Arabidopsis thaliana: one gene and its partner. The protein of the gene in region 2 interacts with the protein of the main gene of each other region in a pairwise test. Each region holds a gene or a part of one and is shown on either strand. Other genes may lie near its edges. The genes, in order: NF-YC2 and ZIM.

Evidence for each region.
Region 1: the proteins of ZIM (region 2) and NF-YC2 interact in binary tests that used the Arabidopsis thaliana proteins (3 or more experiments, as listed by UniProt).

What each region holds. Positions count from the first base shown.
Region 1 is NC_003070.9:21,022,451-21,026,373, reverse strand, and holds NF-YC2 (nuclear factor Y, subunit C2), read right to left. Parts: upstream 1,893-3,923; 5' UTR 1,578-1,892; exon of another isoform or gene 1,270-1,577; 5' UTR 1,257-1,269; coding exon 657-1,256; 3' UTR 472-656; downstream 1-471. Other genes in the region: AT1G56180 (ATP-dependent zinc metalloprotease), read left to right, coding at 1-131; MYB72 (myb domain protein 72), read right to left, coding at 2,930-3,551, 3,637-3,766, 3,852-3,923. UniProt on the Arabidopsis thaliana protein: Stimulates the transcription of various genes by recognizing and binding to a CCAAT motif in promoters.
Region 2 is NC_003075.7:12,643,525-12,647,447, reverse strand, and holds the start of ZIM (GATA-type zinc finger protein with TIFY domain-containing protein), read right to left. Parts: upstream 1,885-3,923; 5' UTR 1,664-1,884; coding exon 1,358-1,663; intron 1,202-1,357; coding exon 1,112-1,201; intron 1,028-1,111; coding exon 894-1,027; intron 424-893; coding exon 316-423; intron 207-315; coding exon 101-206; intron 1-100. Other genes in the region: CLT2 (CRT (chloroquine-resistance transporter)-like transporter 2), read right to left, coding at 2,138-2,298, 2,388-2,513, 2,603-2,726, 2,932-2,982, 3,070-3,105, 3,198-3,297, 3,622-3,737, 3,817-3,854. UniProt on the Arabidopsis thaliana protein: Transcriptional activator that specifically binds 5'-GATA-3' or 5'-GAT-3' motifs within gene promoters.

The DNA of each region.
Region 1 (3,923 bases), on a different chromosome or scaffold from region 2:
TTCTACAATCTTACAATCTACTCAAGTGGCACAAGGCAGCACATAGGGCCGCTGTTGAAGCTCTCCAAGTGGGAAGTCCTCTTAGCATTGTGATTAGAAGGATTGAGGAAGCCATGTCTTCAAGCAAATGATTGAAGCACCAGCATTTTCTGTAATTTATTACTAATACGGACAGCCCATAAAAAAAAAACTCATTTGGAATGCATGGAGACCGAAGCAGATAAGCTCTCGGTATCTCGGTATATAAACCACCTGACTGCAACTGGAATGGCGAGAAGGGACTTGTATCTTTGGATCCATGTTCAAGTAAGTTAAGGTTTTATCCACTAAGGGAGATGTGGAGGATGACAAGGTTTAAACTTTAAAGGAATAGGAGCCAAGCTTTTAATAGCATAAAGAAAATGGTTGTAAAGTAGCAATCACATGAAAGCTGTATAGTTGAATTCCTGTGAAGTAAAGTTTTGGGCATTACTAGTAGTGATTTTCTTTCTATCATTCTTGTTATTATTTAATGCACATGAGAACAGAAACTGCATTGCCATAGATATAGACTGGGGATATACTAACATGTCATTACAGAACACAATAGAAATGGTTCCCAGCAGAGCAGAGCTACCTTACTACGATACAACCAAACAAACGAAAGGGGAAAAGTTTTAAGACTCATCAGGGTGTTGCTCCTGGGGCCAGTGTTGCATCATCCCCTGTTGTTGCAAGTAATAGTATGGCGGGGAACCCACCACCGATGGTATGGTCCCTTTGGTCACGCCTAAACCTTCTTCTTTCAGCTCGTCCCTCGGGATTATGTCCACAAGGAAATCAAACACGTCGGTCCTGGAAATGGCAGCGGCGATGTCGTTCTTCTGCAAGGTCCTCCTCTTGTTCTCCTCGGTGTGGATCCAAGCACGTAGAGTGAGCTCCAAAATGAACATCTCACAGGCCTTGGCAAAAATCACAGGAGCCTCCGCAGAGATCATCCTCACATCTTCATCAGCTTTCATGATCTTCTTGATGCGGGCTAGGGGAAGGGTGTGGTTCTTGAAATCAGTGGTATGCTCGATCTCTTGCATTTGGTTAGCCCAGAACATCTGAAGCTGCTGCTGTTGTTGCTGCTGATGGTGGTGGTGGAAGTGGTGAGCTTGTTGGAATGCCATATGGGAAGCTGCATTTACTGGCCCACTCTGATAAGCATGAGGAGGTACATAATCCATCACTCCCTGTTGCTGTTGCTGTTGACCCTCTTCTGACTGCTCCATTGCTAAGCTATCTCTGTTAATATAAAATTGTAGATTGACAGTTAATCCAAAGTTAAGGGATTTAGAACCAAAGTCTAAAAAAAATCAGAAAAAAAGAAGCGCATGCATGCTCGAATTAAGCTCAGATATGCTGGTTTCAAATCCGGATTTGGGAGTCACGACCCAAGCAGAGCACGATTCACAACATGGACCAAAGATGATAACTTTTGATCCTTTACTACGGTTTTGTCAAAGCTAAAGGATCAAAGAAGTGAAGAAAACGAAATTGGAGAGAGAAGTTTCCAATAGAAACAGAAAATGGAAGAAGAAACACAGACATACCAGTGAGAGTGAGATCTCGCGAAACCCTAAGATAAATGGGTTTGGGGCGGGTTAGCTTTTTATCAAGCGTTTCTGGTGGTGCGTATCTTCCGCCTAGTTGACACGTGTCGAAAAAGCGGGAGTTTTTACGTTACTTCCACCTGTATGCTTTTCATTGGTTATGTTGTGTTATTCCAGAAATTTCTTTATCGGACGGTTTCGAAGAATAACGAAGAACACGTGAAGTGCGCGTGAACAAAAGTCACGTGACATTTGCAACGTCGCGCAAACTTATTTTCGAAGAAGCCCATTGGACCTTGTGGGCTGTAAATCACCCGGGCCGGATCAAAACTTGACCCTAATTGTCAACAGAGTAAAGGGAAACGGGAAGCAGAGGAAAGGAAACCATCGAAAGAAGTTGCAGAGGCAAAGGATCCATCTTTGCTATCGCCACTCTTCTTTGGGGTTCGAAAGAGCCAGACTTTGTTTAATTATGCCGATAATTATGTGCAGAGTCGTCGCTAGTTTTGTTCTGTAAGGAGCAGAACAGTCTCCTCCATCCCTCTATGTGAAGTCCACAATTGCTCCACTTTTCAGAAGCCAAGGTATCTTCTTACTGCTAATGTATTTACCATACGTGTTTAACTTACACAAGCTCTCTTCTTTGTGTTTTAATCTGTAAGAGATTGGTGTAGTTGTCGGATTTCTGTTAATCATTGCGTGCTCGGAGCTGTGAAATTTGTAGTTTTTGTGATTCTAGTGTGATATGTGATGATCCCAAACAGGTCATGTGCTTTAATAAACGGTTGGAGCAAGAATCAAAAGTTTGTGTATTCTTTGTAGTATTTGTTCTGTTTTTTTCTTTTCTTTTCTTCTTCTGTTTGGTCTCACTGAGACCGTCTCAGTCTCTCAAATATGTATGGACTTAGGATAATTCAGAAGCTTTTGACATTGAAGCCCTTACAGGAAGCAAATATCAAGTGATTGAAATGATGAGTACAGTTGGAGTCATATTTCTTGTTGTTTGTATCTAGGCTAAGAAACTTACACACACCTAATTCGATTTCAGGACTTGATGCTTGGTGTGGCGCCTGATCTCGACACACCGGAAGCAGTCGATGCTGCCATTGCCAGCCATCAACCTGCGACCTGTTTTGGCCTCTGAAAACGGAGACTCTGAGAGCAGCCATAAGAGTGATCGAGAAGGAAAAGAGAAGAGTTGTTTGTGTGAATCTAGCCGAAAAACGAACCAATATCATAGAGCTCTCATAAAACATAGCATCTTCTCAATGCATGGGCAATCCATGTAAAATAGTAATTTACTCAACATTCAAAAGTGGATACAACACTGGTCATGCATATATTATTGACATTCATAGACATACTTCTCCGACGAAATTAAAATCATCAAAGTAAGTTTGGTTGTCAATGAAGTTGAACCACTCGTCGTACTCATTGTTAGGTGTGGTTGATTCAACCAGCTGTCTCCTCAAGTCGGATTCTTCGTTTGTGTCTTCAAATCCGCATGGGATATCCGGTTGAGGATGATCAAATGATTGCGATTTGGTTACCTCTCGAGTCATTTCTTGGGTTGAAATGTGAGTTTGGTGGTTATGAAGAAGAGAGTCTAGCGGAAATAAGATATCGTTATCCTGAAGAAACTCAGAGGTTATATCATCAAAGTCATCATGGTCGAGCAGGAACTGGATCTCGTTGAGTCCATTAACCTCATGAAGCTCTGGTTTTGTGTGCATACACTCGCCTTGGTGATGTGACGAAGTAGCTGAGTTTTGGCTCTCATTTAACCCTGAATGTATTTCTTCTTGAGCCCCGTCACAGTTCTTGTCATGATCTGCTTTTGTGCTTTGGTCATGAGTGCTAGAGAGGGATGAAGAAGAAGAAGATGGAGTGAGTCGTTTCTTGAGATGCGTGTTCCACACGTTTTTGATCTCGTTGTCAGTTCTTCCCGGCAAGAAGGACGCGATCTTTGACCACCTGATGATCACATATATCAATTAGTCTCTACATACTATATATTGTCTTATTATAAAGAAATTAGATGAATAGGTAGAGTACAAACTTGTTTCCAAGGGTTTGATGGTAGTGAATGATAGCATCTTCCTCCTTTTTGCTAAAGTTGCCTCGCTTCACGTCCGGTCTCAGATAGTTTATCCATCTTAGTCGGCAACTTTTCCCACATCTCAACAATCCTATGTATATATATCAATCATTATTTCTCTTAGTTATTTAAAACTTTATAGTATTACCGAAACATGCATGTGAATAAATACTAACCAGCAAGCTTGGGAAGAGATCTCCAGTTTTGATGGCCATGTTTTTGAATAAAAGTGATGAGAGTGAGATCTT
Region 2 (3,923 bases):
TTCTAAATGTCAAACTTCTTGGCTATATCAGTATCTTATGAACTGAACATAGTGAACATATTATATATGTCTTTATCATCACTTTGTCTTTCATACGTACCCTGTTAGCCCAAAAAAGTCCACAGGCATTGCAGAGAGTCCTGGGGCCGGAAGGGCCACGTCGCATCATTGGTGTACATTTGGAACTAATGCCGCAATGAGTACACCTACATAAGACACACTCACGTTTAAAATAAGTGCAAACAAAATGTCCCACATTAGTGGAAAACAAAAATTGCAGGAACAGTTAATTGGCAGAGAAGAGAAAGAACTCACGATATTTCTGGATGGGCATCATCTTGGGCAGAATCTTGATCTGTGCCAGAGTTATAAGCCCCATCTGTCATCTTTGAAGAGGTGAATTGACCTTTATTACGTGCCATTCTGATAAACACTAACAAAGGTCAGAGAGGCAGAGAAGGTGACAAATCCTATCCCTTATTATTGAAATAGACATGTCGATTATTTCCAGTAAAAGCTACTTATCACACTAACAAAGACTCAGATGTCTATCCTGCTCAACTACAACCATATTGTCAAATACTACAGCAAGCCATGGACAATGAAGCCTACTACTCTACATAAACACCTACATGGTCACCAAACTTCTTGAAACAAATAAAAGAAAACTAGCTAGATAGTAAACTAGTTGAATATGAACAGATTTCCTTTCAATCCATAGCACACGAAAGTGAGGAAGTAGTTAAGCAACCAGAGCATAGCCAGAAGAGTAGAAAATTTTTAGTTTAGCTATACAAGAATACTAAATTTTTATCCCAGAAAAGGTGAAAGAATTTTGTTCAGAGTAACAGCTTTTGGCATAAATTGGTAAAACTCAAGACTGACACACTGACCTTAAGGCAACTTCTTGGCGAACACCGTATCTTACTTTCTTCTCGAAACATCTAGCATTCCTCTTCTTCCGAAACCTATCCAAGGATTGTGCCCGTTGCGGAAGGCTACAGCGGCTCTGATATTCTACAACAGGCTAAAAATAACACCAAACTGAAAAAGGTGGAATCGAGATGAAGTGACAATTTAAGCAGAATTTGAACACAAATAACAAAGTTACCATATGATTCTGCTGTTGAGCTAGTTCCATCACCTGCGGACCAGGAGCAAGCTCAGTAGAACCACCCAACAGCGACAACACAGCATCCACCTACGAAATCAATTTCCAAAGTTTGGTTAAGACTAGCAAAAGCACAAAGGTGCAAAAGAGGCAATCGTTACGTGCCCTAAGCCATCAGATGTTATGTTTCAGATGCATCCATCGAGACTTCACACAAATAACAAAAGAGGGACAGAGTAGAATTACCTTGTCAGCACCAACGGCATCAAAAACGTAAACTTGTCCACGGAACGAGATCGTAAGCTGATTCGCCCCTTCCGGTGGCCGAGAAACAAGTAATTCAGAGCCATCGGATCGGTGAGCAACCAATTGAGAGCCATCGGGAATCAAATCGGAGGCAGCACCATAGATAGAGTCAGGATGAGGGATTTCTTCCATATCGTCGTAAGGAATGTGACCAGACGTAGCGGAGGCAGAGACATGGTCTTCACCAGCGGAAGCAGAGGCGGTACCAATCTGGTTATTTGGGATAATCGAATGGCGACCAAACATCGGAAACTGCCAAAAGGGAGAGCTTTTTTTTCACATTGATTGAAGGATATAGAGAAAGAACAAAATAAACCCTAACCCTAAGAGCAAAGGAAGAAGGAAATAGTTGACATCGAGAAGAGCGATTACAGAGAGAGATGGTGATCGGCGCGTGTGGAGGAGGCGAGATTAGGACCGTCGTCGAATTCACCCGACGGTAAAAAAAAAAGGTGACTTTAGGTAAAATCGCAGCACTGCTTCCGAGACGACCCGACGACTCTACTTTACTGGATTTTTAACCAATCACAAATTTCTCTTCTTGTTATTCTTTTTTTTTTTTTTTTTTCTTTAAGCTAGTTTTTCACGTAAAAAAAATATCTGAGAATATTCTATGTATCTTTGATGGTCAAAGGAAAAAAAATTGGGAAATTACACGAATTTGGTTTATCAACAAAAAAAAAAGTAATGCACAAAAAGGATGAATGGTGAGTGAGTGTGTTAGGAGGTCTTGGTGTGTTGTTTAGTTGGAGTAGTGGGAATGTTGTAGAGAAGAAGACCTAGGACAAGAACTATACACCCCATCGTAAAATTTGAGCTCAAGCTTGATCCTCCCGGTAGATACGGCAATGGTTTTGACATTATGTACACCGCTAATGGCACTACAACAACACCAAAAGTATTATCTCATATGGGTTTGAGTATTTGGTGACACTTAAGAGGCGTTGCATGGAAGGATAGAAATATGGACCTGAGAGCATCATGGTAAGAGAGGAAACGATTGCTGAAGATATTTTCACCAGATGGAGCAATGAGATGTTGAAAGCGAGATTGGTGGATATATAGAGCAGTGGGAGTATAGGGGCACCATCACAGCCTGAAATTCTCAAATGGATAATCACAAAGTTTTAGCAGTGAATAAAATTCAATGAAGGAAAAAAAAACAAGTGTCGAATGGTCTCTAACCAGAAATCTTAGCTCCAGTGTTGAAGAAGCATCCGGCACCATCTTTTAGATATGAAGGAAGGCTGGCGAATGGAATGCCTTTCAAGTTTGAGAGAAAAGGCAACAACAGGAACACAAAAAGAGCCTGCACAAGCACAGCTTCAGTGATCCGTAACACTAAACCAAAAAACAAAAACTCTTCTCAAGTAGGAGAGAGATAATAAGTGAATAACAGAGGAAAGCAGCTTTCAAATGTTTTCTTCACGTACTCTTGATGTAATGGAGAAGCATGTCTAATTGTTTTGGCTGTAACAAATACATTTACAACATGATATTGTAGTAGTAGATACCTGAAATCCAGATCCAAATGAATTTACCACAAATATATCCAGTGACTTTCCCTGCATCCACCAGTTAATCTTAGAGTTAATTCAGCAAAGTTTCGAAAGAAAAGCATTCCTGTTTGATGCAGGGGATAAGGGAGATACCTCAAGACGCTTTGCAGCATCATTGAAAACAAATTCCTGTTAACAGACAAAACACTTAACAACTTGGGTCTTGGCAAAAGAAAATAAAATAGAAATGTTCACAACTCATAAGAGAGAGCGACCTTCACCTTTATGATAGATGCACCAGCTTGAAAAGCAGCGGATGCTACCAATACAGCAGGCCATAAGAAACCGATTCCAGATAGCGTAGTATCTGCACCAGATCCACTGCAGATGAGTTACAGTCAGCATTCACAAAAATGAAAGTATCACTATCACACAAGCTTCTCTAGAATCAGGGCCTTCTATTTGCTATGTGGATGATAAATACTAAAGTAGAGCCGTCTCCATTCATTTAGCATGGTGAATTTGATAGGTGTGACTCTGGTCCATGAAAACTAGTTTTCTAGATTGTAAGAGCTGAAAGCACTCTCTTGATATAATCTGTAAATGACCACGGATACACAAACATTTCTCTACCCCAAGATCAAGCATCCAGATCCAAGAAGATAAAAGTAACTTTAGAAGAAGAGAAGAGGGAGGAAGGAATACCTTGAAACAGCCACCACAACCCCCACAGCCACAAGGAGACAACCAGCAATTTGGTTAAGCAAAAACCTCCTGCCTAAAATAAGAAGAGCAAAAAGCAGCTGCCACACCAAATATGTCTGCCAAACATTGGGAGGCATGAGTTCAACACCCCCATGAGAACAAATGAGCAAGAAGATAATCATAAAACCAAAAGACCTGATTCAAAATGGGTATAACTGGTCCAGGAAGCATTGCTGCAACAGAGAGTGGAATCACTCCATATGTAACCTTATAAATATGTAAAGTTTCAATCATGCTATAAA